3 linked regions of the Arabidopsis thaliana genome follow. The protein of the gene in region 2 interacts with the protein of the main gene of each other region in a pairwise test. Each region holds a gene or a part of one and is shown on either strand. Other genes may lie near its edges.

Region 1 (12,824 bases), on a different chromosome or scaffold from region 2:
TATCAAACTTTAAATTCTTCCATTTCAATCCACAGTTTTATAACACCTGTAAATTGCATATCATTTCTTTGTTGTTCACAGAATATGCATATACTACCAAAGTGAACGAGAAGAGCGACGTGTACAGCTTCGGGGTGGTGTTAATGGAGTTGGTGACAGGGAAGAAGCCGTTAGAGACAGATTTCGGCGAGAACAATGACATAGTCATGTGGGTTTGGAGCGTGAGCAAGGAGACGAACAGAGAAATGATGATGAAATTAATCGATACGAGCATAGAAGATGAATACAAGGAGGATGCTCTTAAAGTTTTGACCATTGCTTTATTATGCACGGACAAGTCTCCTCAGGCTAGACCGTTTATGAAATCAGTAGTTAGTATGCTAGAAAAAATAGAGCCTTCCTATAACAAGAACAGTGGAGAAGCAAGTTACGGTGAGAGTGCTAATGATGAGATTACTAAAGTTGTATAACTCATAGATTGCACTTGGTTATTAATCGAGCTAAGGCTCAAGAATAATAAATTCTTGATTGGTTTTATACTTAAAAAAATTCTTCAGAGAAAGATTCTAAGACCATTCAAGAGTTTTGTATCATCTTCATCTACATGGACAAAAAAGAAAGTAGTAGTTGTAAAGGGTTAGTGTAAATTGAAAAGCCATAAGATTTTCTATGATAATACTCTTTAAAAATAATTAAAAAGATAAAGCAAAAAGCCATAGTTATTAAATAACTTACAGACGAACATTTATAAAATACATCGCAACGATAGGACATGCATGATCATCACAATCACAAAGATCAGAGACATCTTCAGATGTTTCTTACATAAGTTTTGTATACACACACACACATATTTAGCATCAAGTTACAGTTTCAACTTTCAGCCCTGGCGGTCAATCTCCACCGTCCATCCCTTGGTATCCTCGACCCGACCCGTCTGGATATCACTTAACGTCTCGTATAGCTTCGCAGCCAATGTTTCTTCCCCTGTTTTGAATCCGGTCCTGTATTGAGTTTATACATTCAATCATTTCAGTCACCCTAACTTATGAAAAAATCTAAAAATAGACATTTTGGATTAACAAAGGGAAGAAAGTATTACTTTTTGTCTTTAAAGGTTACGGATGCAATACTAGTCACAATGGAAGCAGTGCCAGTACAGAAAGCTTCGTCCGCATCGAGAAAGTCCACTAGAGGAATCGTACGTTCCTCGACCTTTATACAACGTGAAAGACCAAAAGGAAATTATTATACATGCATGATGAATATTATTAGTAAGGAGATTTTTTTCGCAAATTACAAGATCAACTTGATATATGTATGATATTGAAATATTCCAACCTGGTAGCCGAAATCACGACACAATTCCATTACGCAGTTTCGAGTGACTCCGGGCAAAATAGTTCCTGCAATTGTTGGTGTCGATACAACATTGCCCTATATACAAAAATATCATCACAACCATCTTAATATTCTATAACACATGTATAAACCTCAACATGCATTTTCAATAAATTTGTATATTTATTTTTTACCTTGAGCATAAAAACATTAGCTGCGAAAAGTTCTTCAATGTTTTTGCCAGTTGCAGCATCCAAAAACAAAATATCAGAGAAACCTTGTTTTTTCGCCTCTGCCAATGGTATCCAAACCTTCAACGAGAAATTTTTCCATTACAATCATTTAGTCATGTAATTATGAAAATTTGATGTATATTTTTAAAACTTACAGGACAATAGTTTGTGATGCTCTTCACACCACCAGTTCCACTAGGAAAAGCTCGACGAAACTGATCTTCGATTTTCAGATTCAAACCAGAGTTATCCTATTCCAAACAAAAATCCGAAAATAATCAAATTTAACATAATGGTTTTCGTTAAACAACATAACCCTTTAATTTAAAACCAACTCTCAACAAGTAATTGATGCATGCATGTTATATTACGTACTTGGAATCCCTTATATTTTCATATGTGAACAATAAAAGAAAAACGACAAGAACACTAGTCACCTTATGATAACGTCCAACAGGACAGGCAAAAGCTGTGAAGGTGGTCTCAGGAATGGGAAATGAACCAAGAATCGGACCACTCCCAAACAAGATAGGCCTAATATACAATGTTCCTTTCCCCGGAGGAGGAATCTGCGTACATATATAAGAAAACCCCATTGATTATATCTTTCATTTTATAAGGTTTTATTATCTTGACGAATTCATACAACAATCAATATATATAATATACCCATTTCTTGTTGGCAAGAGCAACTTGTTTGATGGCGGAGACGAATTGATCGACCGAAGGATAAGGCATATAGAGTCTGTCAGCTCCGGCTTGAAGGCGGAGACCGTTTTGGTCTGGTCGGAATAGCAGAATCCGACCATCTTCTGTCCTGTAAGCTTTCAGTCCTTCATATAAACCCTAATCATTCCCAAACCACCATAAATATTCCAGTAAATTAGTATCAAACCATTACTTAAGAATTGTTGCGAAACTAGATCACATACAATGATTTGATAGGAATATCAATACTTTCATACTATTCGGTTCGTTGATATACATTAATACATATATGTACAACTATTTCATTTTTTCAATAGTTTATAGCTCAAATATGCATACAATATAGTTGCTAACTCAATAGTATACTATGTAATTATATTTATGATAATTAGCTCAATCATTTTATTATCAGTGAGAAAGCTATATATTCATGTGTTAATAGTTTTTTCTGTTTCATCTAATAACGATCTAGATTTATATTCATTCTTTTAAGTCATATATAACAAACCTGGCCATACTGAAGAACAGCAGCGCAAGGGTTAAGTTGCAAATCAGCAAAAGGAAGAATCTTCCCCTCTTGAAAACTCTCTCCATGATTGCACTTCGCAACATACATATAATCCGTACGAACAAACTTGAATGCCAACTCTTCCCACTTGACATTCGCATATTTTTCATCCGAAACACTGTAAATTTTGATAAATAAAAAAAAACAAAAAAAAGATCGCCAAATCATATTTCATACTATCAGATTTAAACAATATAATTTGTTCGACGATACAGAAATATTTTACCTCACAGGAAGAGGTTGCGCAGAAGGAGCCATGGATGTGTTTGTTCGAGTCGAGTTGCTTTGTTGTAAGTAGGTAATTGCAAGAAACTTGAGTTGTCTATAAAGCTTTGGAATACTTCTCTTTATATATACGTTTACAACAATTTTTTTTTTTTTTTTTTTTCTATTTTTACAACAAATTGTTTTTTATTATAATAATAAACTTAAACGAAAATAAATAATATCTCTTTGTTCTATTTCTTAAAAAAGAAATTAGCTTGTAGTACTTCAACGTATCTTAACTCTTTAGTCTTTAGTAGGTATATATCATCTATTTATTTATTTTTATTTTTTTTATATTACGATTATAGTGTACGTACGTATTTATTAATCAAAAATAACTTGGTAGAAGTAAAAAGAAAATGATTTTTTTTTTACTCAGTGATCAGTTTTACGTTTATTCAAAAATAAGTTGTAGTTTCCTTCTTAATATTCAAGTTATATGACTAAAAATTGGTCGGTTAATTTACTATTAAGATTAATCGGAAACTCTAGTTAGATCACGAGATAATCATCACGTGGAGAAACATTTGGTTCTTGTCACGTGGAGAAAACGTTAAGCTTATTTTTTACTTCTTTATTATATTTTTGAGGAAATGGTTGAAAGAAAGAGAGTGTTTAAAATGTGAATGCGCTCGTAGTTAGGTGGAGGTTAATGGGTAGGAGGGTAGGTCATATGTGTATTAGTGATGGATAAAAATTAAAAACATAAAAAAAACTTCAAGCTGTAAATAATCTAATAAAAGAACATAGAAATATAATCAAAGAACCATTTAACTAAATAAATACTTTCGATTCAAATAGCATATTTCTAAGTTCCAAGAATAGCTATCCTCTATCCACATGTTACATTTTTTTTTTCTTTTTCACATCCATATAGTTTTTAAAATAATTTTCTAGATGGTATTTTTTATTCGACATTTTTTTTTCCTTTTAGATTTACTGATTATAATTTATTTAGAAATAAATGATACGACTGTCGTTTCTACAAAACTGAAATTTGCAAACATTGGACCAAAAAGCGAAACCTTAATCACTTGAAACGACAACGTTCTTTAGTATGTTTTTGGACATACAAAGTACACATAAGATGTTCCCTCACTCTTCGATTGTTTCTTAACCTAATATAATTAAGCAATATTGAACTTGAGTCACTCAATGCTGCACCGAAGGAGCCTTTAGATTTTGAGCAAATTCATGAGAGTTTAGCTTCTCATTCATCACTCTGAATTTCTCTTTTATCCTCTTTATCTGTCCAAAACATGACACATAACATAATGTTAGTTCTCCTGCATACTTCCAATGGCAAATAGAAAAAAGAGACATTGATCATAGAAGTCAGTTTGGTTTACCCTTCTGAGCTCGATCTCTGTGCTCCGTTTCTTTTGATCAAGTGATTGCCGGAGATTCGTGATGTCGAAGATACTATCGAGGTCGTCTTCAAATGCGTTTTCCAACTCTTCCCGGAGAAGAGCAGGTAACTTATCAACGATGGGCATTAGAAGAAAACAGTTGAACTGCAGAACAAAAGAAAACACAGATACAAACTTTTTAAAAGAAAAGTCATTTTAAAAGCAAGAAGAATCTGAGTAAAAACTGAAGTAGGAGCAAACCTTTAACTCAGCAGAGGCGAGAAAGTACTCTCGTATGCCCTGGAATATCTGTTGGACCAATGCGTACACAATTCTCTCAGAGGAAGGAGCAAGCTTGCGGTTCCAAAGTGTGCTATCTAGAAGATCAGCCAACCGCATTTCTGTTGTCTGAATACTGGAACCTGAATCGATGTTTGAGGCGAGATGGCTTAGCTTTACATCTGATCTTGACTTGGTGTCTGTTGTGCCACCTAATGCATCTTGGGGAAGACTAAATCCTATGGCATTACCTGATGTCGTATTATGCTCTGTTCCACCAAATGAGTCCAAGAATTGACGTAGACCAGCTCGGTTCTACATAACATTGAGAAACGAAAACTACTCAATCAGAAACGGATACTTGATGGTATGTACACAACTCAATTGGATTGAAACAGAGCTATAGGGCTGTAGCAATGACCTTGTTGTGAAGAGACCATGTAACATAGCGAGTTGTACTTGCTAAATCCTCCATACATCTGCAAACAATATAAAATCCAAAGGGTGATCAATCACTAAAGCTCACTAGAACACAGGTAGGAGGCACCGACATGGTAAGAACAGGAATTGGAAATAGAATTACTTGTCACGACATGATTTTTCTGTGGACTCCACAAAACTGTTGAATGCTGAAGCAACCCGCTTGAGAAACACCTCATGCCCACTTAAATATTCACCTTCTTTCTATTCAAATTTAGAACATACATCAAAAAATTTGCTGGAAAGGGATCATGAGTATGATACCGTCAAACCAAAGAAAACAGTACCTACCTGAAGAAGATATACAGAAATTGGAAGCAATCTCTTGAGAATGTGTAGAAGCCTCGCCCCTAACTATATCAACGCAAAACAAACGAAAATGAGAACTGGAAAAAACTTTCTGTATGGAAAGAGAAACATGTGAATAACAAAATTTCAGATGAAAGTATTCCCAAACATAGTTTCTGTAAGCAGAACATGTTTACTCGATAACTCTTATGCACAAATAAGTTCCAGCAAATCTCAAAACTGAATGGTAGTATGATTTCAATATATAACGTTATATTTCATTTTTTTTTTTACGTACAGTACACCTTAACTAATTAGTAAAATTGCTTTCCATCCTCCACGAAAGAAAAAGAAAAAAGTAGCTATATCTATGTCACCTGATGAAGGAAAGGTTCAAACGTCTCACGAGCCTTCGCAACTGCTATAACACAAGCTGTTCTACAACAGCAAATAAGAGAAAGAGAATAAGAGGCCATAGAAAACATGACAAACGTTGCAGCTCAGATTAGATACTGAAAGGGGTCTGGGATGCAAAGACAATAAATTGAGAAGTGTGTTGCATGTCAGTCAATCCTATGATACCTGGAATAGTTTGTTCCATCATGAATATCCTCAACTCCACATGCATTTACAATTTCCTCCCTCGTTATTGGGGGACATTTGATAGCACCAACTAGAAAACGAAACTCAGCCATGGCACGGTGATATTGTGCACCCCCATAGAGACGCATCCCTGCATTCTGTAAAATGAAAGATAATCTGGTTATGGTCTCTCATAATTCTTGAAGGTCCAACGAAGTATCTCTTTTATTTGTTTCCAATACATTATTCTTTGGCACATATGTTTCATGCGGTCAAATTTATCTTCCATCATATTATAATCCATGTACAAGAACAAGACAACTGGATTTGAAGACCATGCCCAGCTTGCTCTATAAAGTCCAACAATATTCTGCTTCAGGGAAAGACTTACCGGTATTAGCTTATGTGAAAACTGGAGACCATCAGTACCAACAAATGCTCCTCCTTGTGTCCTTTCATCTTGCAGTGTCTCACCTGAAAAACACCATGAGAAATTATTAACAATCAAAGAACCCAACATAAAGAGAATGCTGTTATAAAATGTGCTTCTGCCAGTAACCAAAGTATCATGACCAATGATTGATTGATTAGCATACATCATTCCATGTGTAATCATCGCAGTCTGGTGACCCAGTCGAATTGAACAATATGCATTTAACTAAACTGATTTTGCAAAAGTCCAATTTAACAACACCCAGAAACAAGAAAAGTTTATGCCAAAGAAGTTGACTAGCAGAGAACAGAGCAGTAACATTACCAAATTTATCTGGAGGGGCCACAACTGTTCCCTTCAATAACAGCGATAACTGATCAAGAAAAATATAAACAAAACAGGTGAGAAAACACAGCACTGATCAATACTAACAAAGGTACTTCGTACGTCAATCAGAAAATATGACGCAGCAATTTTAAAGTCTTAAGGGCATCCAACACAAAAAGTTTACAGCCATTCTGAATTTGTAGCAAGTCCTAGATATCATTTACTGTAGCATAATTTTATATGTGTCAGTAATCAATAAACAAATTTGTTTTTATGTGTCAGTAGTTAATAAACCAAAAAAAAAGAGAAGTTTACACAAATGAACTTGTTGTAATTATACAAAAACTATTAATCCACGAGTCCAGGCAAAAATGAAAAGGTATGGGAAGGTGTAAATAGAAATCTAAAAAAACGAAATGCTCTCTACAGTTACCTTGGTTAAGAAGAGATCATGGAAAGTCCTGCCTCTCTCTTTGAGTTTTGCTTCATCCAAAGAGCTGCATTGAAAGGAATTATTCAACCTCCAATGAGTTATATTTTCTATAAATCAGTAGCTAACAATTAAACTGCCTAAAATCAAGTAGACATTTTCAGACAAAACAAATTGCGACCTAAGTTCCTTGCTCACGGTATCCAGCTTTCTGACTGTACTGCGGTACTCCTTTCCTAACAGTGGAATGATCAATGGAACACTCTCTTTGTACCTGGAAAGAGAAGGGCATCAAGACTACAGCGAAAAGTAAACTACAATAGAAACAGAGGCTGGAAAAATCAGAGTTAAAACAACAGTTATACCTTTTCCAGAGTAGTTCTTCCAGAAACAACCTCAGTTTACTGATGCCAATCCTACTCTTTTCCTGTTTTGTCAGTAAACGGCCCAACTTCTTCTCTAAAGATGCAATGTCTTCCATTTCTCTAAGTGACACAGCCTGTAATAAAAACCACACATAGTTTAGAAAAAGACCTGTTTAACTTGTTTAAGGAATCAGACAGCAGAGCAGAGACCTGTTTGAACTCGTCATTAGACTTATACACTGAATCCTGTCCATAGCCAACTCTTCCAGAAGGCACAGACGTGAAAAAAGGAGAATCGCCCAATAAGGAGCTGTCAAGTGCGCTTGCAGGAGGTGAGAGAAAGACTTCCACGTCAGATGAACATGAGAATTGAGGGATTTTAGTGTCAAGCTTTGTAGAAACAACAATTGTCCTAGAAAGCTCAGGATCAACCTACATGAACGAGAAACAAACTTTAACAAAAATAAAGACAAGGTTAGACGCAATGGAGTTACGTCAAGCAACGTACTTGCATCACTATCCTTCGAGTGGTTGCAATGCTCCAGTCACTGCTATCTTCGAGGCATAAAATGATGAACTCTTTGTGTTGCATCTTTGCTCGGACTAGAGCTTCCACAGCCCGTGCTTGAACCTAAGAAAAAGAACAAGTAACCCACTCTCAAATAAAGCAAAACCAAAACATGAAATCAGCCACGGAATTGGCTGGAAGCCATAAGAAAAAACAACCTGAAGAGCTCGGTTTTTCAGTCCTGGTGCAGGAGCAATAAGTCCAGGTGTATCAATGATGGTAAGGTTTGGACAATACTTATACTGGACTTTCACAATAATCTCCTTTGCAGAGAATGGGCTACATGGCTCTTGCTCCAGCCTCATGTTCTCAGCCTCAATATATGCCTAACTCCAAATCATATAACAAATTTCGTTAACATGAGCATTTCGCTTCTCTACAATAAACCTAAGTACTTGTGTTTCTCAACATTCGTCAAAATCTTCCCAGAATTTATACGCAGAAACAAGCAATTGAAGAAGCACAAGTAATAATAATAACAAAACACCTGAATTTGTGAGAGAGATTTGGGAAGAGAAACGGAAGGATCATCATCAGATCCGAGATGACAAAGCGGGAATTGACACTGAGGATCGTACTTCATATGGAGAGTAATCGGCCGACGAGTCTTGGTTCCGCCGCCGACATGGTTAAATTGAAACCCCATAAGAGCTTCCACAAGCGCACTTTTACCGTCGGTCTGCTGTCCCACCACAAGAACCGCCGGTGCTTCGAACGGCGTCTCCAATTCCTGCGCCAAAGCGTGTAACTCGTTGTAAGCTTCGTAAAGACTCCACCGCTCCTCAATCGCAGCGTCGTCCTCTTCCGCCATTTCCTCAACCGTCACCGATTTTGCTGATACTTCCGCCATCGTCTCTTACGAAAATGAGCAAGAGGAAGAGTAAGAGTAAGAGAGTGTCTCTTATTTCTTCTACTCTTTAGTTTTCGTCGCCGTTCCTTTTTCCGCCATGGAATTAGCAGATACGGCTAATTTCAATTTTTGTCAAAAGAAATATTTTTTGTGTTTTAATCTCACGCGCATCCATGGCGCGTTGAGTCAACGTTGTAATAGTTCTCCGCTAAATTTAAATAAAAGAGCGCGTAAGGAGAGAGTTTAAGGATTTTTTTTTTTTGGTCGGCAAATACAAAGGATTTGCTTTGTCTTGACCAATAGTATATGCAGAAATATTATCTCAAAGGATTTGTGATAACTATGTAGTACAGAATTGTGATTATTGGATGAGAAACCAGAAATATTTTGAGCAAATGACGACTTGTTAATTTACTATTTTTTCATTTCTTAAAGGTCTCTCTTGTGTAACTATGATTAAAATTGAAATAGTGACTTTTATTGTTACGACATGGAACAAATCAACGAGTTCTATTGTTAAAGAGAGACATTGATGAATGTAACAAAACTGTGGCTTAGAAGCCGAAAGGAGACTTAGTTCGGGTCCCTCCTTCACCGTATTGCTCGTTCCATTTTCTCAATTCGTTCATTGTCGTCGCGTCGTATGCCACTGACGGACTTACCTGCAAATTACATTACAATGACGCAATTTCGATAATGCAAACACCAGGGGAAAAAACATGAATAGAGATGATGATGATGTTTTTTAAGAGATTGATCAATACCTTAGCTTTGGATTGAATGAAGTCGTCCAAACTCAGTGGTCGTAGATCAGGGGACGCATTTGTTACCGAGTCCTGATAATTCGACGTTTCAAAAGCATGGAGTGAGTACAAAAATTATTTTTCGTAACAACAGAAATCAACTGTGTGGGTTTATGCATGTCCTTACCTTGTTTTCTTCTTGTAACAATTCTTGAACAGGTCTGTATGCAGCTGCTATGCATAGATTCTGCAATGTAAGAAAAGAAAAGGAATCAGAACTACTGTGTTGAATCATACTCGAACTTGTAAATGAAACCCCGAATGACCAAACCTTTAGATCGCTTCCTGAATATCCTTCGGTTTCCTTTGCAAGTTTATCAAACTCGAAACCAGTTTCAAGATTTTCTGGTGTCAGAAATATCTTCAATATCTTCAACCGGTTTTCCGCATCTGGTAAATCCACATATATCCTATAAACACAAGCCTCAATACAATTATCGAAAAGATACAAATATTCCAAAGGAGAAATTACTTGAAAGCTTAAATTACCGTCTTGGTAGCCTACGAATGACAGCGTCATCAAGATCAAAAGGTCGGTTGGTGGCACCGAGAATGAGAATCCTTTGGCTATCTTTTGATCTGAGTCCATCCCAAGCTGCCATAAACTCATTTCTCATTCTTCGTGTTGCCTCGTGCTCAAAAGCACCACCACGAGCACCCAACAAACTGTCAACCTATACGACAACAAAATAAATTACAGTTAGTCCTTGAGTAACACATTTTACGCATCACAAAAGTATTCCTCATAAAAAGCAATAACCGAAATTGAAAAGTGATATAAAGCTAAACAATTTCTCACCTCATCAACAAATATAATGACGGGGGCTAGTTTGCTTGCAAAAGAGAACAAAGCCTTCGTGAGCTTCTCTGCATCTCCAAACCACTGTGCCAAACAATGGACGAAATTGACTTAAATCAGAACCAATCAGAGGTAAAGTTGGAAAGAGATTTACTCTAAGTTACAATCGGCATTGACAATAATAAGTCGATGACCGGGGTGGAAAAGTTTTTCTTATGTCATTAGATATTCTCCTTATTTATATGAAGATGTTTACAAAGTGGAATATCAACGTGACAGTGCAAACAACATAGTTTTAAGGTTCCATGTACCTTTGAGGTAAGCGTTGAGCCAGTTATGCTAATGAAGTTTGCCCCAGCTTCTGTTGCAAGCGCCTTGGCAAGCAGCGTTTTACCCGTACCCGGAGGACCAAAAAGCAATATGCCTTTACATGGCTGGAAAAAACAAAGACACACGCATTCAAGAAAACCCAGACGAGAAAATTCCAAGTCCATAGTCAAGAACATAATGACATGTATATAACAGAATGTAATACCCGCAAGAGATTTCCACGGGTGAAAAGCTCTGGCCTTCTCATGGGAAGAATAACTAACTCATTTAGTGTCTTTTTCACATGTTCAAGAGCACCAATGTCGTCAAACTTTACCCCAATTTCTCCAGGAGCAACCACGGCTGAGACAAAATTGGTTTCAAACTCATCCTTCGCAATATTCTGCAAAAACAAAAATCTCTTTTTAACATAATTATTACTCAGAGTTTTCAGCAGCCAATTGCCAGACTACCAGAGGGGGGAAGAAACTAAACCTTCAAGTTTTGTGTGGGCTTTCGAGAAATATCTTCTTGTGCCTTTAACCTTTTAACTGAAATCTCAATGCTTCAAAAGAGGAAGACAATAGTAAGATATAAGAAAATCAAAGATAAATCATAGACCCCAAAGATCAATCAACAACCATGCCATTACCTTTCACGGGGGAGAATCAGGCGGCCCTCTTTAATCGATGGGCTAGGACAAGAAGATAAATAGTGGTTTCTGGCCCAACCGATAACTTTCTCCGCTCCTGCAGAAACAAAATAAACAAGTTTCTGAGCTCTCTTGGTCACAATATAAGTAATTGGGGTTTCATCACAGAAAGCAAGAACTAAAATTAAATGATTAATCATATAGGAGATGACCGATATCAAGGTCAATCACATGGAACTGCATCCTATTTCATGTAATACTAGCAACAAATGAGATACATAACATACAGTTAAGGCATGCTTGATATCCTCAATCAGCAACTTTAACATACTTAACAATGCTAAGACATAACGAGTAATAACATACATAATAAACCAGGTATTTCATAGGAGTTACACACTTTGCTTTGTCAATATCACGCCATCGGTGTTCACTTGGTACAAGTCAGTGCACAATAACTCGTTTTCCTCAAGCGCCTGGGTTAAAAGTTCTCAAAGTGTTACAATGGTTATGATAACATCGCAAATTGACTCCATTTCTCTAACGGAATTCAGTCTATGTCTATGTACCTTAAGTAGCTCATTTAAATTGCTCCGTGACATCACAATTCTTCTATCTTCTCCAAGTTGTTTGTTGAATACTATGAGGTTCTCTTCTTCCTGCACAAAATTAGAAAAGAAGAATACAGGTACAACATTGATAAGCAAGAAGTGCTGAACAAATAATTTTCAAGAAGACGATAGCAGCATGAGCTATGTAGGCATTTGCATCCCAGATATTGATTGCAGATGAATTTAACATTTTCCAAAAGGAGACTCTGAAGGAAGTTTGCATATATTTTCTCATATTTCAAAGTCAGAAGTTTTCAAATAGCTTTCCTACTTTCTCCTAATGTCGGTAACGTAAGAGGAATTAGCAGAAATATTTTCTCAATAGACATTATTAGATTCGAAACCAGTCTAAGTCTATATGCAATGTCACATAAATATGAAAAAACACATCAATGCAATTCTCATCGGTTATCCAAAACCATGAACGGAAGTTATTAAAGTCAATAGGCATACCTTAGGAGGGACTAGGTTCATAACATTAGTGAAGAGCTTGTATATCTCATTATCCTCTGATGTTTTCCTTCCCGTGAGTCCCTCAGTGAGACGCTTCAACGGAAGGGGCTGTAAGACACAACAGCATCT
Region 2 (9,492 bases):
ACCAAAAGATTCCTTCGCCGGAATAATCACCGGAGATAAAGATAAAGGAATGGCGTCCCTGAAATTTCCGTTGGAGATTCTCGCCGTCTTCGTCATCATCTCCGTGATTCTTTTGCCGATTGCTCAATCTCATTCTTCTTCGCCAGCTCCCGCACCCACCAGCGATGGTATTAATCTTAGGATAAATCTTTCATTAGAGCCAATTTTGTTTTTAAAACCCTATCTTGGAGGACAAGAAATTGATATTGATTTGTTTTTTTTTTGGCAGGAACATCGATAGATCAGGGGATAGCGTATGTTCTAATGATGGTGGCTTTGGCGTTGACTTATTTCATTCATTGACGTGATGGATCCGATCTATTTGTTCTTCCTCCATAATGGTTTGTCTTTCGTAGTGTTGTGTTACAATTCTTTTCTTTTTGGGTTTGTGACGTGAGATTTGTAGAAAATCATATTAGGTTTTGGTCCTCATGCTTTGTTCTGTTTTTGTTGGTTGCATTATTCGTGTACCTTTTTTTCTTTCTTGTGTAATGGAAAAGCGTAATTATAATAATTATTATTCAAGGAAAAAAAAAGCACCGTTATTTTTGCTATCATTTGGAGGGCATTCTCTGGCTGCTAGTTGCTGAGACCATGTCATGATTCATGCCGCATTTCACCTTGAGATGAATGTCTTCCTTTGTAAAATCAATTTGAGGCGATTCCAAAATCGCAACTGCCATCGACAATCTCCTCTTTGACGAGGCCTGTCTTTGAATCACTCTCTCAAACAAGGTTTAAAATAAGGGTTCAAGATTTAACCTCTTTTGGAGGAACCACCGAAATTTCACCACTAGATGTATGGGCTATAGTGATGATGAACTTAGAAGTTTAAAACATCTTGAATAAATAAACTTAAAGTATATTCACCCACTTGTTTAGAGTCTTTAGTGATTATTTATACAACAAAAACCAAGACCGTTATATGATATATGATTTTAAATAAATAGAAAGTGATCAAAGAGACGATGGATCGTGATTAAGTTTATAAGCTGCAGCGACGGATTCAGCAACACCTCCAGGAATAATATTATTGAAAGGAGAATGATTCAGCTCAGCCCGAATCACTGCTTCTGCGTCTTCACTTGTCACTTCTCTGTCCCTCGTTACTTTCACATCAATCTCCGCGATAACGTCGCCGAGATTTGTCTTCTCATTATCTTTTCCTATTTTTTGGTTACGAGCAACCGCCTTACTTGCTACAGCAGTTACACCACCTTCACTTTCTATATCGCCTCCGATAGCCCTTGTTTCCACCTCTTTTATGGCAGCCACGTCGGTGGTTTCAACTGGTTTGTGGCCGACATTCATGGATGCTGCTTTAAGAGCCTCCGTTAATGTCGTTGACCTCCCGATAAGTGCTTCCGCTGCGGTGGAAATCTCTTCTGTTGGGCCTACAAACTTTTTCAAAACGTTTCACATCATTCGGTATTATATTGTGGTCACAATTGTTCAAAACCAGTATGTGTTTTTACGTTTTTCGTTATTTCATATTTGCGTTTTACGTTGCGTTAACATGAGAAAGTGAGACTACAAAATAAAAATTCAACATAAATTTTTTTTGAAAGAAGTATATCAAACAAAATATTAATTTCCTTTGTGTTTTCAACACCATGCAGTGTACGGATTTAACTTTACACAGCCATAATAATTAACTACAAAGTTGGGCCAAGTTAATATTCACAATCTTTCTTCGTCCAAGCCAACTCTTGATGATACTCATTTTGAATGTAAAATAATCCACTTTAAGCGTGTACTAGAAGAAACATCCTTTCAAAATGATCAAATCTACCGCCACTAGTCTACCACTACCACACGCTTGTTAGTTGGTTATTATGCATTAAATATAAACGTAGTACAAAGAAAGAACCCAAAATCTATACCTGTCCACCGGGGCTAGACTGAGAGACGCTAAAGTGCTCCTCCACGGAGATGTTGGTGACACTAGCACTATCTTTTGATGAACCCATCGTTTTAGACTTCTTCTTTCTTTGCTTCCATGTTCTTTTTCTTTCCTTAGTTTAAATACGAAAACGGAATGTGGCGATAATAACGGTTCCGTACAGTTTCATTTGACACGTAGGCTTTTAACAGTGTAACGTGTCCATATTTAGCTGCTTGTGAGACAGTGACCCTTAAATGCATCGGCGAGACTATGTATTAAACATTTAGAGTAGCGTGGTGAGTTTAAGAAATATTGGAAGAAAGGACCTTTCATAACCCTTTTATGCAAATTTCCATATACTATTCTTTTTTTTTAAGGTATGTTGATCTCTTTTAACGACTTGCATGTTTTTGACGTTTGTCAAAACTCAAAAGTAATAAAATGGAGTTCCATGGTTGGATTTTGGGATTTAAATTTGTTCTTTAATGATTATTTATGCAACAAAATCTTATAGGCTTCCAATGCCTATATAAGGTGGATCAAAAACTGATCTCGGTAAAAAAGACAGTACAAAACTTCGGTTCGAAACTTCCTACTCTAAAAGAAAACAAAACAAAAAATACAAAAATCACGACCGTTATTATATACTTATTGTGATAAATATGTAAATTGCAATTGATATCAAAGAGATACATTGCATGGATTGCAATTAAGTTTATAAGCTGCAGTGACGGATTCAGCAACACCTCCAGGAATAATATTATTGAAAGGAGAATGATTCAGCTCAGCCCGAATCACTGCTTCTGCGTCTTCACTTGTCACTTCTCTATCTCTCGTTACTTTCACATCAATCTCCGCGATAACGTCGCCGAGATTTGTCTTCTCATTATCTTCTCCTATTTTTTGGTTACGAGCAACCGCTTTACTTGCTACAGCGGTTACACCACCATCGCTTTCTATATCACCTCCTATAGCCCTAGCTTCCACCTCTTTTATGGCAGCCAAGTCGGTGGTTTCTACCGGTTTACGGCCGACATTTATCGCCGCTGCTTTGAGTGCTTCTGTCAATGTCGTTGACCTCCCGACTAGCGCTTCAGCCGCCGTGGAAATTTGTTCTGTTGTGCCTGCATACTGTTTCAAAAGGCCGAACCCGAACATCATACGATATCAACATGGTCACGTAAAATATTTCAAGTTAAAAGTTTTTTTACATTTTATCACCGCGGTAGAAGTTATACAATTCCTACTATGAGCTAGCAATCGGTAAAACGGTAAATTAAAGGGAACACCAACAAAACGGTACAAAATCTTTACCAATCTATGTTTTACCGCACTTGCTTACTTCTTTTAACTGTTCTGTTATCGTAAACGATTTTTCTTTTAATCGTGGCTAATTTTTCATTTTAACCTATTACCTGACCACAAGTAGTAGATTGGGAGAGGCTAAAGTGCTCCTCTACAGAGATATTGTGAAACTAGCACCATCTTTTGATGAACCCATCGTTTTAGAGTTCTTTGATCTTCTTTCTCTGCTTTGCATTATCTAATACACTTTCTGTTTTGTGTAAATTGATAAATAAGTAAACGGAAGTGCCGACAAAAAAAAAGAAAAAAAAAAAAAAAAACGGAAGATGACAATAGTAACGGTTCCGTAACAATTTACATTTGACACGTCGGCTTTCAACAGTCCACGTGTACAATACTTGTCTACGTATGCCGTTATGCGACCGTGACTCTTCGATGCATAAGAGAGACCAATTACTTTTTGGGCCTCAGAAGCTTCGTAGAGCCCAAACATTCTACCAAGCTTTGAGACACGTGCATAGTCCGTGCCAGCTGTTTCTTGTTTTAGTATTTCCGGGTCGGGTTTCACCCGTATCCGGAAATCAAATTCATCGGAGCGCTTAATTTGAGTCCACAATTAAAGTGAGAATTTTCCTGAAGAAGAAGAACTTTTGCTTTTTTTCTGGGTTTGCTTTTTTGTTGTGTCAATGAAATGGGAGAAATGGAGATCGAAGAAATCGAAGCTGTTCTTGAGAAAATCTGGGATCTACATGACAAGCTTAGCGATGAGATTCACTTGATTTCGAAGTCTCACTTTCTCAAATCGGTTAAACCTTCAAATAGATCGGAGAAGAGAAAGAATCCTCACGGAAATTCCGGCGAAGATAAGCGACCTGGTTATGTTTTCATCAAAGGATTCGCCGTCGATGATAACGACTCCACGATTCAGGAGGCGAAGAGTCTTAACGCAATTCGAACCGCTCTTGAGAACCTTGAAGACCAGCTCGAGTTTTTCCATGTAAGTCTCGTGTTTCTCCGATTGATTTTGTGGTTTTCGCTTCCTTGATATGAAGCGAAATTGGGAGATTAGCTTGTTATCTCCTTTGTTTTGTGCTAATTTTTGAAGATTGTTAAGCAAATCCTTCTACTAGATGACTATTCAAGTCCGAAATAGGTTGTATCTGCTTCTGAAGAAAGTGACTCATGATTAAGCCGATTTGAGGCAATTTAGGGTAAAAATTGATTGAGGTGTGTTTAGTTAGGGTTTAGATTTACGAATTAGGAATTTAGGTTCTGAACTGGATAGTAATTATCAGATTCTTACGAAAATTCTGAGCAACAATTTTAGACAGAAAATCATCATACAATGTAGTTCTGAGAGCATTGTTTATTGCAAACTCTTTGATCATGGAATTAAAGCAGGGAGAGGAATCTAGATTCAGGTGTTGTATGTGCATGAAGAATGATATGGTCTTATTTAAGATCAGAAGAAGTAGAGATAGATAAGCAGAATCCATTTCGCAATACATTATAGACGCATGTGTTTTATCATTGCCATAGATAATAGACCAACGAAGAAGAATATACAAGCTATTTTGCATATACACTCATTGGTTCTGGTCAGTCGCATATGTCTCGTTTACTATCTGAACCTGAAAGACAAGATGTAAAACTTCTTTCTCTTTGCTCTGCAGACTATACATACACAGCAGCGAACAGAGAAAGATGTTGCGATTGCTCGGCTTGAACAGAGCAGGATATTACTAGCAATGAGATTAGCTGAACACCACGGCAAGAACTATGGAGTCCTAGAGGAAGCTCTTGCATTTGTTGGGAGCATTAAATCCAACTCGCATTACGTTTCACCTGATCACCTCTACGATTCCTCTCGAAACCCAGACGGAGCAAACTCTATTCCAGATGGAATAGAGTCAAACTTTGTAATCAACGCCTTTGCCTCGACTTTCGGGTTTGCCAAGAGAGCACTTGGATTCAACCATGTGAAAGGCGTACTTGGAAACGCTGCTATATTTGCCATAAGCGTGGTCGCTATGCTACATCTTCACCAAGTGGCTACTAGTGAACATCATCTGCAGAAGAAAGAAGACAGATTCTACAGAAGCCAACAAAGGAAAACATACGGAAGAGATAAGTCTTCAGCTGACAGAAGTTTGGATCACTTGGACGTAATGATGGCTCGTGGTTAAGACCAGAGATCGAACTTGTCTACACGTGAGAAAACTAAAGAAGAGAAGAGATAATTGTTGCTCTCATAGGTTTCGATATTATCAGCAAAAGGATAAGAATTTGGAGGCAAAGTGTTGGAATTTTCTGAGCTCGTCTGATGCAAATATTGTTCCTTTCTTCTAATTTTGATTTTCAAACACTGTGGTTAATGTTTTGTTTGTTTTGTTTGGTTTTGTTGATTTCAAATGTGGTTAGGCTTTCTTGTAAATCACAAGATCTCTCGGCTATTCTTTAGTAGCAACTGGCAAATTCAGATTGATGAATGTATTGGGCCACTATCAGCCCATTCGCACCCCAGAACTATCCAGCCTTAGTTTGCTCAATCTTAGGCCCTTTTACTTTTGATGACAAATCACTCTAAACCGTAATAATTTGGTCCGGAAACAATATACAAAATACAGTACGAATACTGAAGAGGTTTATCGTCTAGTTTTTGTTATTCAAATTGAAGAAAGATAACGTTTTCTCGAAATTTTATGAGTTATATGACTTGTATACGTAGTTTAATATCAACTTTTTTTTATTCTTTCTTTGTTTCTACAAAGCCTGAATATCTATAAAGTATAAGGGTGTCAAAGCGGGAGAGTTTGTCCGGTGTATGTGAATTGTGATGTGAACAAAGCAAAGACAAGTGGGAGGACAAGTTATCAAGATGATAAAGGGGAAACTACAATGAGTCCAAATTGGTAGAATGAAGGAAACATGAATGTGAATATTACAAAATACTTTTCCTTAAGATCTGTTTTGTCTCTCTTTTTCTTTTGCTTTTGTACACATAGCTTTTTCTCTACACACTCTTAACGTTATAAATGGCTTCTTCTTTTTCTTCTATCTTTGTGTGCTGTCTTCTTTATTTTTATTGTGTAAACATATGTTTTTCAATGTGATTAGACATATATAAATACTATAACTTACGGATTGTGTTAGCATTTTGTAGGACCCGGTTCGCATTTTGGGAAATGTCAGCCCGCCGACCCCGGTTTTCCTCCGTAAATAGGTCAACCCAATGTTTTTTCTCTGTCTACAATGGCTAAGACCGCAAACAAAATACTTTTTCACATTTCGATTATGATTGATTGATAATGCTACATAATATTACAAAATACATGATAAAATAAATCTATAGGTCATAACTTCGAAATCAATACAAATGAGGAAACTCAACTTACGATTTTAAAAGAACTTTTGTCACTTCACAAATATGGTTTCATATGAGAATTTGCTAGTAGCTTTTCTTTCTCTCCTTGTTTTACGATAGGAAACTGAAAACTATTTTTTTCTAGTGAAACTATTTTTAGTCAAGCAAGAAATAGTAATGATAACCAAAGTCATACTTGTAAACCCACAACGTAATCATATATTGTGTTTTATCTTTTTTAATCCTTCTGTTTTAACTGCTTCAAGAAGATAAGCAAATGATCGCTCGTGGTAGTTTAATAAATGGGGATAATGGAAAATATTATAATTAGATATTCATTATCGAATGTTGATTATAGATTAAAAAGAAAAGGTTGGACCAAATAATAATTATGAAATAGCGAAGGTGCTCCATAATGATGCGACAAAAAGCTGATGTTAACGGGTAGAAAGTGTTTTGCCACCTTCTAAATAATTATTAACAGATGGGTCACATAATTTATTATTTCATATCTTTCTTCTTTTATAAGATTTTTAGTATGAATAGCAACAGTACGTGAATCTTTACGCAGACCACCAACTAGTATTTGATTCATCTTAGCGGTTAAATGTCATCAGCCTATAGCTTCATTCTCTAATTATCCAATAAATTATGAATGCTAATATTTTCATTAAATTAATTCATTTTCATTTCGCAGTTTTTACAATCCTACTTACCACAACGTTTCACTTATACAACGTTTTAATTTATTCTCAAGTCCGCGATTTTCATTTTCGGTCGAGATTTGATCCACAACTTGATTTTTTCTTCCAAAATTTCAAGTAGAGATAAGATCATAGTGGTTTCAAATTTGTACTATTACGTAAACATTTAAAGTAACAATCTCTATGAATCATCAGATGCCTTTTAAGCATTGGACAGCTATAATTTGATCCCATACTCCGACCAACAAATTTAAACCATTAAAGGTTTTTTTTGGTCTTCATTTGACGAAAAAACAAAAAGCTTCACGCCACGTCTCGCTATAATAACGAACCTAAATACTGACGTGGATGGTTAAATAGGACACGTGGTTCTGCACAGATGGGCTTTTTAAATTACTAAGAATCATGTGATTGTCCACTATAAAATGCAGGGCCCATAACCACATCACGTGACCTTGTACTCTCGTTGTCTCTCAACATTCTTCTTTCTTCTCTTCTTTTTTTCTTTCTTACAAGAATTAAGAAAAAACTTAGTTTAATTAAATATCTAAATTTTTACGTAAACATTCTAAATAATTTAAAATTCGATAATAATGTTAGTTCAAAGGTTAAGTTTTAAATTCCAAATTTTAATTTCAAACTCTAAAAATTATCTCTATAATGATATCGTGATTTTTGAAGAGTTTATTAGTTAAATGAAGCTCTCATCATTCTCAATTTCACTGTTCAGGATTTTACAGACTGAAATATAAACCATATGAAAATGAGATTATTCGAAAACGCGAACATATTACTTTGACAATATTCTCCTGTGGGTTTGGTTTCAACATTTTGGCTAGTATATGGTTTAGCTTTATTTTTATATCTACCTACTTTTTTCTTGTATTTTTAAGATCACAAATATTTTTTACTGAAGGCGTATGAGTAAAATTTTTATCAGATTCTAATGGCTTGTGTAGTTCTTAGCCGAATCTATGAAATATTAATTTTAGTGTGGATTCGGTCCCATGCATTGACAAAAAAAAAATCTAGACATGGTGTGACTACTTAATAATCAGAAATCGTGTGATTTGGTTCATGGGTTAGACAATCTCTCACGGCTCAGAGCACGCCACGTGACACTATAACATTCACACCAGCTGCTTTGATTAGTCAACGAACGTTAATTCTCTTCCTGTGACTATAATGTGATTATTCTATTTAGTATTTACGACCTTTATACATATTTTACCGACAAAAGAAAATATATAGCATGACTCTACAAAGATATACAAATCTCAATAAGGTAAGACAAATTTCAGAAGGAAGATCTTGAGCAACAGAAATTTTTCAGATACGAAGTTATGATAAAAGGAGAAAATATAGATAGGGGACCAAAATACAGCTTCAAAATGAATTGCGGCTAAAAATTTACCCACTTGGGGAAAAGAAACCTAAGGCCTTATATTATTGTGATTCTTCATTAAAGTTGCAGTATCTGCCAAAAGAACCAAACACAGTAGTACATTGCATATGTTCATACTTCACGTACCTATATATAGTCATTATAGCCTGTTAGTTCGTTATAACCAATTAAATCGTTGGGATTTAAATTCGTGTGGAAAATATAGTATAATTTTTCGACCGTTGAAATATATGGAAAAAACGACATGCAAAATGCATGTGGAAAGGTGCAAACTTTTTCGTTAGACCAATTAAATTAGTGTGATTTCCAATGCACATGAAGACTAAATTGCGGCTCTACTCAATTTGGACAGAAGCAAAATAACATTTGAATACATTACATAGATTTTGTTAGTTTCCGTTCATAAAAATCTTCAGCTTTTACTTGTTAAACCAAACTAGTATATAAATATATTTTCATTTTCATTAATTGCCAACCCAAAAGTATATTAATACCGCAATTACTGTGTAATATAAGCCATTATATGCTTTCTTTATTCCACATTTATATGTTAGTGTGGAATGTTTGTTCTTTGTAGACTAGAAATTTGTGTTCAATTTAGTATAGTTTGAAATGTGTGTGGACAAAGAAAATTGTATCAGTTTAATATGATATGATATTTAGTAAAGTTATGTTAAAAGTTGTGGTAACTAAAAAAACGGTAAAAGACTAGACAAAAGACAATTATCACATTCTAGCTAGATTCATATAAACAAGTGCCTGTGTTTTTATTTGTTTATTTGGAATTGAC
Region 3 (9,504 bases), on a different chromosome or scaffold from region 2:
ACTGTGCCCTGCCCTCAGCGTCCATAACACATCCGTTCTACAAAAAGTGTACGTTTCAGTTTGTGGCGCGGCCACCAGGGAACGAAAGACGGTACTGCAATGCGTGCGAGAAGGATGTATCGGGGTTTTTGTACCATTGCAAGGCTTGTGGGTTTGATCTTCACCCGTGTTGCGCTATGCTTCCTATGGTTTTGGACGATGGAGAGACCAATCTCTTTCTTTATCGTAAAGTTAGTTCGTCTTGTCATCGATGTGGAAAAAAAGGCCGTAGCTGGAGTTACAGGTCTCTCTTCTTGATTCTCTTCTTGTTCTTTCATTATTATGATACCAAAGATTAGCATGTAAGAAAAATAAAAATTGTTTCGTCTTTTTTTTATAATTATTAGCATGTTTTATTTGAAAACATATATAGTTCGCTATATTAGAAATATAGTATGTTATATGTTAGAAAATAACTAAGATACAACTCAAATCAAATATATAGAATGGTAATTGGAAAAAAAAATGAGCATTGCTTTAGTTGTTTTTGTTTTTATTTATTTTAGTTCGCTGTTTTCATTGGTGTTTTAAGTCAACATCAGCATATATTCCAAATCAACATCTCTAAAGAATATTTTAAAGCAATATGATAAAATTTTGGATTACGTTTATTTATTGATTCTTGAACATTAATTTCGGCTTTAAACCGAATATATGTTAGAGAAAAAGGAAAAATTAAAGCAATGGCATTCAAACACAAACTTTCTCTTTTCTCAAAGAAATGCTTGTGCTTGGTAATTGGTAGACATGTTACATAGCGTGCACTCTAAGTTAGAACTTTACAAGTTTATACACTGACTTAGCACATTATATATGTGTCATCGCCGAAGTTTTTAAATAGATAACGTTAGTTCTTAGTTATCAAAATTATATACCAAAATAGAAATTTTAGAGTCAAATTCCTTGATTAATGCATTGCAACATAATTTTGAGCCAGTTAATAATAAAAATCAGGTTTTAAATCAGCTAAATATGTTTGTTTTTTTTGTCACAAAAATACAGGTCATCTTGCAAAAAGTACAATCTCCATGTCGCGTGTGTGAGAGAGATGTTGGTGGAGAATTGGCGAGAGCTGTACACAGGACAACATGGTAAAAGCATTGAACACAAGAGCCTGGTCTTAAAGAACACACTTGAGCATCACCACCGTAGCAGCCGCAAAGGTAAAGTTCAAAAATGCTGCGAGATCGCCGGTATAGCCGTGCAGTTTGTCATTTCCGCCGTACTCGGGGATCCAACGACCCTAATCGCGGGAGTTGTAGGCTCCCTTATTTCTCGAGGATGATTCCCCTTCAAAGTATTTCAGTTTGAGTGTTTAACCATCGTGTTATAAACTCTTAATTAGGAGCATGTGAAAGTTGATACATTAGAGTTTGATATCCTTTTAAGTTTCTTGTCCATAAACCAAAAACGTGTAATGTTGAAAAATAATAATAATTAATTACGTAAGACAGCTTAGTAAAGTCTATTTTAAGTGATTTAATTTGAACATTTAAACATTTTCGTACGAGTTACCAATTATATATTTCTAACTGAATATTTCACTCTGTTAATTTTTCTGTCAATTGACTTAACGACGTGCTTAAAACGACAAAATCAACAAAAGTTATATATTAATTCTAAAATCAATAACAAGTTTGGTATTTTAGTGGTATTTTGGAAGTTGGGGATTTAAACGTACCAAATTTAAAAGTTTATGATTTTTTTGACATTTTTTCAATTATATATTGAAGTGTTCTAAGATAAAATCATGAGCCTGGTAAAAAGTTTTTGTATCTTACCTTTTTTAGGTAGCTGTTTTTCTCTATTTTGCTCATCATTTCTTAAGATTTACAGGTTGTAAAAGGCCAAGACTTAGTGAGAATAAAACTGTTGGAAGTAATTATATTTATTTTAAAGTCTATCAAAAATATCATAATCTTAATACAATTTGTAAGAAACATTTTTTTTTTGGGCAAAACAATTAGTAAGAAACTTGTATTCAAAATGATTAGGATTTTGGAATGCACACTATATATATATTATTGTCACTAAATCAAACCAAACCAAATAGAACAACAGTCATGAGAACAATTCAAAATGAAATATTTATTACAAGTTTACAACTATATAATAGTATATGATTTTTTAGTTGGAAAGATTCATTTCAGCTTTAATGGCAGCAACAAGGTGATCATAAGCCTGACCCCAAGCCACCTTCATCTCCGGTGACCACATCTCCGGCACTGCCTCCTTTATCGTCTCCAACAATGCATACTTGGCCACCTGCAGTTATAAATCATTTTTACATCAACCAAAAAAAATCAAGTTAACATATTTGTATGATAAAGAACATTTTGAGATATGACAAATAACTACTAACCTCAAAGTGTTCGTCAACGACACCGTATTTAGAATGGCTGGCTCCAAGTCTCTTCAAAGTAGTCTCCCTCACCGTAACTTTCCCTGTTTTCCTCAGTTGTACTGCTGATTCACAACACTGATAATAAACCCCAAAACTCAACAATCTTTGATTCGAATATATAAGCAAAATCATGTTATTTGATATTGATTATTACCATGACAAAAACAGACATTGCGTGAGGCTTGAGCTTTGGATTTTGCTCAGCAGGAATTGGTGAGTCTCTCAAGAAAGAGAACATCTTCTTCGTTGTTGGTGCAATCTCAAAGATCCTACAGTTCAAAATAGTAGTTCATATCTCAGACTATATACATAAAAAGAAAATAGAGAGAGATCAATGGGATCATTACTTACTTGATGAAGAGTTTGAGACCTAATTCAGCTGAGTTTTTCTTCATGACACTCCAAGACTTCACTACAAGAGCCTCTTGCTCTTCTGTGAACACAATCTTTCCTTCACTCTCCATAATATTTCACAACCTCTAAATGATTTAAAGTATACAACTCTCTGTTTTGTAGATCTTACTCCAATTATGAAAAGTATCCTATATATAGGTTTTGATAAAAGACCCTTTTGTGTTACCGAAGAGACAGTTCTTGATAAGCAAGTTTAAGATAAAGTTGCTTGGTTAAAAAGTGAAACCATGTGCTCTGTACTGGTAATGGAACATAGTTTGTAATGGTAGGCTTGACCAATTATTAGTCAAAACACTAAAGAAAAGTCTTTTAGATCTCTTTATCTCATTAATTTACTTATTTATGTATTGGCCAACCACACCAAGTGGTATAAGTTGGGATACACTGAATCTATTGATCAAATTGGCAGAACAGAGATTATACTACTCAAATGAATCTCTCCCTCATCCAATTTATTTGCACAACTATGAACAAAACTTGTGAGAGTTATGTAGCACCATGTGGCTTTCATATCTAAGAGGTAAGAAAAGGTTGAAACTTTACACACTGAATGTCAGGCAATGAACATTACAGAGGAGGGTGTTTAATTTCTTTCAAACTCAACCGTATCCGTAAGTTACATCGCGTTTCGCTACAACAGAGTCAAATGGTATTTCGACTCTTTCCTTAACAAGGCACCGTGCTTCTCCATCTTCAATCACAAGAACTTTCCCTGGTGGACATTGGTTAGGTGTTCTCTTCCCTCTGGTAGCTCGGTGCGGGAGAAGTCCAAAAAGGTTCAAGGAAGCGCCTCTTTTCCTCATCTCTGGACCATATCCTGATGCAGACAATAGAGAGATAACACCGATGATTGGAAGCACGATCTTTGCGACAGAGCCTAAGAAGCGAATAACCCCATGACTCGAACCTCCAGATCCTCCGTTGGGACTTTTCGCCTCTGCCTCGTTCCTCACATGTCCTGAGCCGAACCCATTCGCATCCGATTTCTTCTTCGAAGGTAAGTGAGATAGGTAACCATTATTATTATCTAAACCAAGGGAGAGAGGAGGATGGACAGGATAAGGAGGAAGTAAAAGATCATTCTCATAATCAACTCTTTCACCAGCAAAAGTCGTAGTCTCACGTAACACTTCAAAATCTTTCCCTTTGTACTCCTTAAGCTTCTCAAGCAACATTTTCCTACTGTAATCAATCTCAGAGAGAGCCAGTTGCTTCTCATATTGTTGTCTTTGCCTTAGATTCTGTTCACCACAAACCAAAAACCATCCCCACATTAACCACCACCAAGACTTGAAGCAATTCAGACATTATAGACCAGACTTGAAGCAAAATTCAGACTCAGTTTCAGTTAAAACCAGAACCTAACACTTTCAATGTTCAATACTACACTAAAAGCCAGAAACTTGATGAGAAGCAGAGGAATTTTTTAGGGTTTGGTTCAAACCTGTAAAGAAGCAATTCAGACATTATAGACCAGACTTGAAGCAAATTCAGACTCAATTTCAGTTAAAACCAGAACCTAACACTTTCAATGTCCAATACTACACTAAAAGCCAGAAACTTGATGAGAAGCAGAGGAAATTTTTAGGGTTTGGTTCAAACCTGTAAAGAAGCAAGCTGAGACTCAAGAGCTTCAAGAGCATCACGAATACGCAAAAGCCGTTCAGCTTCTGCTTCATCTACATCCTCAGAGCTGATTGAGTCAAAATCCTTGTCTTGATTCCCAATAATCTCGCTTTTTCTTCCTTCTCCGGGAGAAAGATCCTCGTTTCCATCGCCGTTGTCGCTGACGGTGGTACTGGAGTTATCGATACAATCGCTGATCTTGAGTCTGAGCTCGGTGGCTCTGGCTAAAATTAACCCGATGCCTTCTTCGTCTTCCATCGCAGAGATTGAGGAAAAGAATTTGGGGGTGGAGAAATTAGGGTTAGGGTTTTTGTAAGGTAGTGGTGGTGGGGAAGAGAAGAGAGACAAGTAATTTGGAGTGTTTGGAGTGGATTTGTTTTGTGGTTGGCTTAACTCAGATTTTCAGATTTGTTTCTGCTGCTTTCCCGGTTTTAATCAACGGCCACAAAAAATCAACAAATTTTTATTGAATTTATTTAAATTTGGGGAAAAAATGAAAAAGAACCATAAGAAATTTGGAAGAGGCCAATTTTGGACTCTAACAAAGATGACAAATCTGACATATCATTCTACATAAATAAAATAAAAGAATCTGTGTACTAAAATATAGACTTCTATGTCAGAAAAAACGTAAATTTTAAGTTATTATTTTTTACCGTCTAGATTTATTATTTATTATAAATTATAAAAATTATCGTAGAATCGTTTTTGTAACAATTCTTTTTCTTTGAACTATGGTTAGCATTTTTTTGTTTGTCAACGCCGAAGTCAACTGATCGGTTTACCGGAATTGTATGTTCATAATATTAACCAGATGACGTCATATAGTTCATAAATATGGTCATGCAATACATGTACTTCGTGTAGCTCAAGATACAATATTATACTTGGTATATATGACAGCGTAATTCTCTATATTTCGTGTAGTTAGCCATCTTTTTTCCTTTTATAAAAGATAACAAAGTAATTGAAAATGAATATGTTTTTTCCTTTTTTGGCTCAACAACAATAATTATCATTAAACAACAGAGTTTTACAACTTGTCTAATTCCACAAACGATTTTACCCAATTTGGCACTATAGAATACAACTTAGGATCATAATTCTCAAGAGAAAGAGATTCCTTTGCTATCCTATCTGCCACTCCATTGCCTCCACGATGCATGAACACAAACTTTGTTTCCTCAAAATGCTGAAGCAAGAACTTGATGTCTTGTATAATAGGGTCCAGAGTAGGCATATCATCGTTATCAACAAGAATAGACACCAATTGTTGGGAATCAGATTCAAAGATTACCTTTCGGTAGTTGAGTCGAGAGAGTGACAACACCGCCCAACGCAACGCTTCAGCCTCAGTAACCAAGGCGGATTGAGCCTTTGGTATAGCCCTTGCACCCATCCAAAGCACGTTCTTGTCGGAGTTTCTAAGCACCCAGCAAATGCCACACTTGTTGCATTCTGCATTCCAAACTCCATCTGAGTTACACTTAACCCACCCATGTGGGAGTTGCTTCCACTTGATCACTTGCTTCTCAGAGCTCTCTATGAGAAATGTATATGTTTAAAATGAATATGTCTGAAAATGAATATTTTTAAAATGTAGTTTGAGATGGTTTAAAAATATTAGTTAGAAATATTTTAATTTAAAATAAGACATTAAAAGAAGTATTCAAGTTAAATTACATTAAAATTATTAAATAACACTAAAAATACATTATATTGATGAGAGACACAAAAGTGAACCAAAAATAATAAAATTATATTAGTGAGAGATTCAATAGGTATCTCACCAAACAAAATTTTTTAGGGGATGCATTCAATAAAAAAATTACAACCAGAAAAAGTGAAAAACTAAGGTTAGCCAATTTTTCAGATTGCGGGACACTCTCTCACCGTCACAACAAAAACCTCATACCATCTCAAATATATAACGCATATGTACAAGAGATTCATATCCATGAATTAGGTACGATCCACCTACGTTTAGTTAAAAATTTACACCTCGAGGCACTGAGAGAAGCCTGAGTTCATAGGCAGCTTCAAATATGATCCACTATAAGTCTATAACCATTATCCTATGTAAACTCCGAAACTGATTGAAATTTTGTAAGTAACGATGCTTGACCCCTTCTTTCAGAACTGAAGAGGGTTAGGTAAGGTCACTGACAAATTAAGCAGAGGGGATTGGGTTTAGAGCTATAAATATCCGGGTAACACACTTTATTTGGACAAAAAGGGTGTTATTGGGAGGTGAAGAAGGATAAGTGTTCATTTCCGCTCAATGGCTTCCGCTGGCAAGTTTAAATCTAGTAAGGTGGTTTGGCTGTTTCTGTAACTTTCGTCTATTCTAGCACGCTTCCCGGAAGAGCAACTTGTGTCTTCCGACTTCCCTGACTCCAAAGCTTGATCGAGCCTGGACGTCCATCCTGTATTAAAGAGTTTGCTTTGTAAGATTACCGGTAAGTCTCCAACCTAATGATGTGAAGTTTCAAGATTTACTGCTTGTACCACAATCCGAAGACTGACCAACAGCTTCCTTGGAATTCTGGGAACTATAAAAATCAGATGCTCGTTCTATGCCGTTTGATCTGTATGGAGTAATGTTGTGGATGCCAAGTTGCAGAGAACCCAACAAGTCATTCTCAATGCATTCATACCTGCAAAAAGCTTGACATGTCAGTTTCAATATAGGTTGTTAGCACTCTCTGATGTCTTTTAGATTATTAACTAACATATTTTCGCAGAGTGTATCGACCGCAACTGACAAATTGATGACTTGAATCCTTATCTGCATGACCTTATCATCAGCAAATTGATCAAAAGGTTCCTCCAAGAACTTAGAAAGTTTCTCAACATTAGCCTCAAGCTGCTGCTGCTGATCCTCAAACAGATTTTGTTTTATTTCTCTTTCCTCAGAGCTCATCTCATCTTTAAACAGCTCATCTCCAAACATGTAAAATGCGAAAGGGTATGAATATGAAAGAACTCGTCTTGATCTAAATAACCGATGGAGTCCATTGGTAGCCCAGCTGAAGTCTTTAAGTTGTAACTCCCTCTTTTCTGAAATAGACACCTTTTTACTAATATTATTACTAAGCTTAGCCTCTAGCTTGGAGGAGTCGATATGTGCTTTGTATCGGTTATGATAATGCATATACCGCTTGAGATCCCTTTTCGCTCTCTCCATTTGTTTCTCTTTATCTTCTTGGAACCGACCACAACTATGACCCGAGATTCTAGCCCAAGTGTGGTCCCTTCCAGTAGCTTCACCACACAACCAACTGTATAAAGTAATAACCAAACAAAAAGTTCATCACCACCTGATATAATGTTCACTAGAAAGCAGAGGAGAAACAAGGCTAAAATTCATACCAAAAAGATTGTCGACAAAGACAAGTCACGAGATTGCATCCACCATTCTTTTCAACAGGCTTGTGACATTTGGGACACGGCTTTGTGTGAACAGTTATCCAATTAACAGTCTCGGACTCATCAAAGCACTTCTTTCTCCATAGTTCCCACATCACACAAGAGCAAGGGGAGTGAGCTTGAGATGAACAACTGAAACAGAACTGCAAACCACAAGAGCATTCAACCTCACAGAGCTCGTCATCCTCAACACGTATGGCATTCCCACAATGAGGAGTACTCGGACACCACTTCACCATTTTGTTATCTTCGATATACGACTCAAGAAGAAAACGATCAAACTTCTCAGCTAAATCTGGTTGGCTTTTACTAACTAGAGCCCTGACAACATCTTCATCACAAATAGCATTACACTTATGAGCCATGCATATAATCCTTTTGCTCTGACCTTCATTTATCTTTACAGTAAAATGCCCAGTCCAACCTAAAACAACAAAACCATATTAACTAAACAACTTCATTTCAGGATATCATTAAGAAAAGGATGAGACTCACAGTTATTGCAAAAGCTATGGCCACAGTCCATCCTTGTCAGCTGATAACCCGGTACATCCTCTACGCAGATATCACAACTCATCATCGAAGAAGAACCAGAAACGGAAGAATCACAACTTTGGTTTTCAAGAAGTGTAACACCAGCACCAGAAAACAAGCTATCTTTCCCTTTCTCAACAAGAACAGCAAACAACTTCTCCACATCCCATCGGTAATGTATAAGAAGAGTCCGAGCATGGTGCTCCTTAACCGATAACAATTCCATCACTCTCCGCAAATCCTCCCTCTACATTGATTCAAAAACAGTTTAGCCTTCAAAATTGAAACTCCACAGTATATATGGATCAAAAGAAGAGTCATTGCTCTTTCACTAACCTGTGCAGCCAAAAGTGATTCCTTCGTAATAACCTACAAAATGCAGATTCACATTCATGCAAACATCAAACGCTTTTATTCTAATTGAACCAATGCCACTACTCTTCTAATCCTCTTCACAGCATTACAGAGATGAAATTTCACAGTATAACACAAAACCCTAATTTTAACTAGAGAACAACAGAGATCACAGAACTGATTTTTCAAATCAACATTTCAACTAAGTGATTCAATTTCACGAATTCGTTACAAAATTAACAAAATCCGAAAAAGAATCGAGAGAAATTTAGCTCAAAAACCTTGACAGTATTTGATCGGGAAGAAACAGGTATCGAAACGGATTCATCATTATCAATCCCGTTGAGAGATTCCTGATCGGAGGAGTAATAGTAATCTTCTTCCTCGCCGCTTAAATTATCATCCATGGATCAATTTTTAAACTGATCAGAATGAAATTGTCGACAAATGATATGATTGACGGAAGAGAGTATTATAGAACGACGGAGGTGATAAAGTACGAGAGTAATAACGAAGGAAGAGAACGATGACGGAGATTTTGAGACATGAAGGATGTGGGATGATATTTGCCGGCGAGATCAAAAGAGGAGTGTTAAAAGGACTGAATCAACCGGAGGAGAAGAGAAAGAGGACATCGTTATTTACGGACCAAACGGCACCGTTTTATATGAAATCACTTTTTTTATTTGAGTATCTAAACAGTT

What was found.
Region 1: the proteins of PDV1 (region 2) and ARC5 interact in a two-hybrid assay, tested with the Arabidopsis thaliana proteins (one study listed by BioGRID).
Region 3: the proteins of PDV1 (region 2) and PDV2 interact in a two-hybrid assay, tested with the Arabidopsis thaliana proteins (one study listed by BioGRID).

What each region holds. Positions count from the first base shown.
Region 1 is NC_003074.8:6,846,322-6,859,145, forward strand, and holds ARC5 (P-loop containing nucleoside triphosphate hydrolases superfamily protein), read right to left. Parts: upstream 9,270-12,824; 5' UTR 9,069-9,269; coding exon 8,706-9,068; intron 8,545-8,705; coding exon 8,377-8,544; intron 8,282-8,376; coding exon 8,159-8,281; intron 8,083-8,158; coding exon 7,861-8,082; intron 7,785-7,860; coding exon 7,651-7,784; intron 7,560-7,650; coding exon 7,467-7,559; coding exon of another isoform or gene 7,452-7,466; intron 7,353-7,451; coding exon 7,289-7,352; intron 6,902-7,288; coding exon 6,853-6,901; coding exon of another isoform or gene 6,760-6,852; intron 6,570-6,759; coding exon 6,487-6,569; intron 6,254-6,486; coding exon 6,096-6,253; intron 5,952-6,095; coding exon 5,891-5,951; intron 5,580-5,890; coding exon 5,517-5,579; intron 5,430-5,516; coding exon 5,329-5,429; intron 5,225-5,328; coding exon 5,167-5,224; intron 5,061-5,166; coding exon 4,728-5,060; intron 4,632-4,727; coding exon 4,467-4,631; intron 4,366-4,466; coding exon 4,270-4,365; 3' UTR 4,037-4,269; downstream 1-4,036. Other genes in the region: IKU2 (Leucine-rich repeat protein kinase family protein), read left to right, coding at 82-470; BCAT4 (branched-chain aminotransferase4), read right to left, coding at 881-1,004, 1,103-1,215, 1,342-1,437, 1,536-1,652, 1,730-1,825, 2,012-2,143, 2,244-2,420, 2,791-2,968 and 1 more; AT3G19740 (P-loop containing nucleoside triphosphate hydrolases superfamily protein), read right to left, coding at 9,623-9,730, 9,833-9,904, 9,999-10,058, 10,143-10,281, 10,361-10,545, 10,671-10,754, 10,982-11,104, 11,206-11,382 and 5 more. UniProt on the Arabidopsis thaliana protein: Mechanochemical GTPase component of both plastid and peroxisome division machinery. Required for the last steps of plastid division specifically in mesophyll-cell, when the narrow isthmus breaks, facilitating the separation of the daughter plastids.
Region 2 is NC_003076.8:21,603,666-21,613,157, forward strand, and holds PDV1 (plastid division1), read left to right. Parts: upstream 1-3,744; 5' UTR 3,745-3,920; coding exon 3,921-4,226; intron 4,227-4,902; coding exon 4,903-5,415; 3' UTR 5,416-5,763; downstream 5,764-9,492. Other genes in the region: AGP22 (arabinogalactan protein 22), read left to right, coding at 50-167, 269-342; AT5G53260 (Seed maturation protein), read right to left, coding at 997-1,440, 1,923-2,009; AT5G53270 (Seed maturation protein), read right to left, coding at 2,606-3,085. UniProt on the Arabidopsis thaliana protein: Component of the plastid division machinery.
Region 3 is NC_003071.7:6,980,616-6,990,119, forward strand, and holds PDV2 (plastid division2), read right to left. Parts: upstream 5,006-9,504; 5' UTR 4,742-5,005; coding exon 4,460-4,741; exon of another isoform or gene 4,377-4,459; intron 4,302-4,376; exon of another isoform or gene 4,132-4,301; coding exon of another isoform or gene 4,099-4,131; coding exon 3,457-4,098; 3' UTR 3,231-3,456; downstream 1-3,230. Other genes in the region: AT2G16050 (Cysteine/Histidine-rich C1 domain family protein), read left to right, coding at 1-283, 1,042-1,324; HB1 (hemoglobin 1), read right to left, coding at 2,167-2,304, 2,402-2,518, 2,598-2,712, 2,795-2,907; ARI2 (RING/U-box superfamily protein), read right to left, coding at 6,752-6,909, 6,992-7,140, 7,216-7,764, 7,856-8,336, 8,408-8,693, 8,783-8,815, 9,082-9,207. UniProt on the Arabidopsis thaliana protein: Component of the plastid division machinery consisting in a binary fission accomplished by the simultaneous constriction of the FtsZ ring on the stromal side of the inner envelope membrane, and the ARC5/DRP5B ring on the cytosolic side of the outer envelope membrane.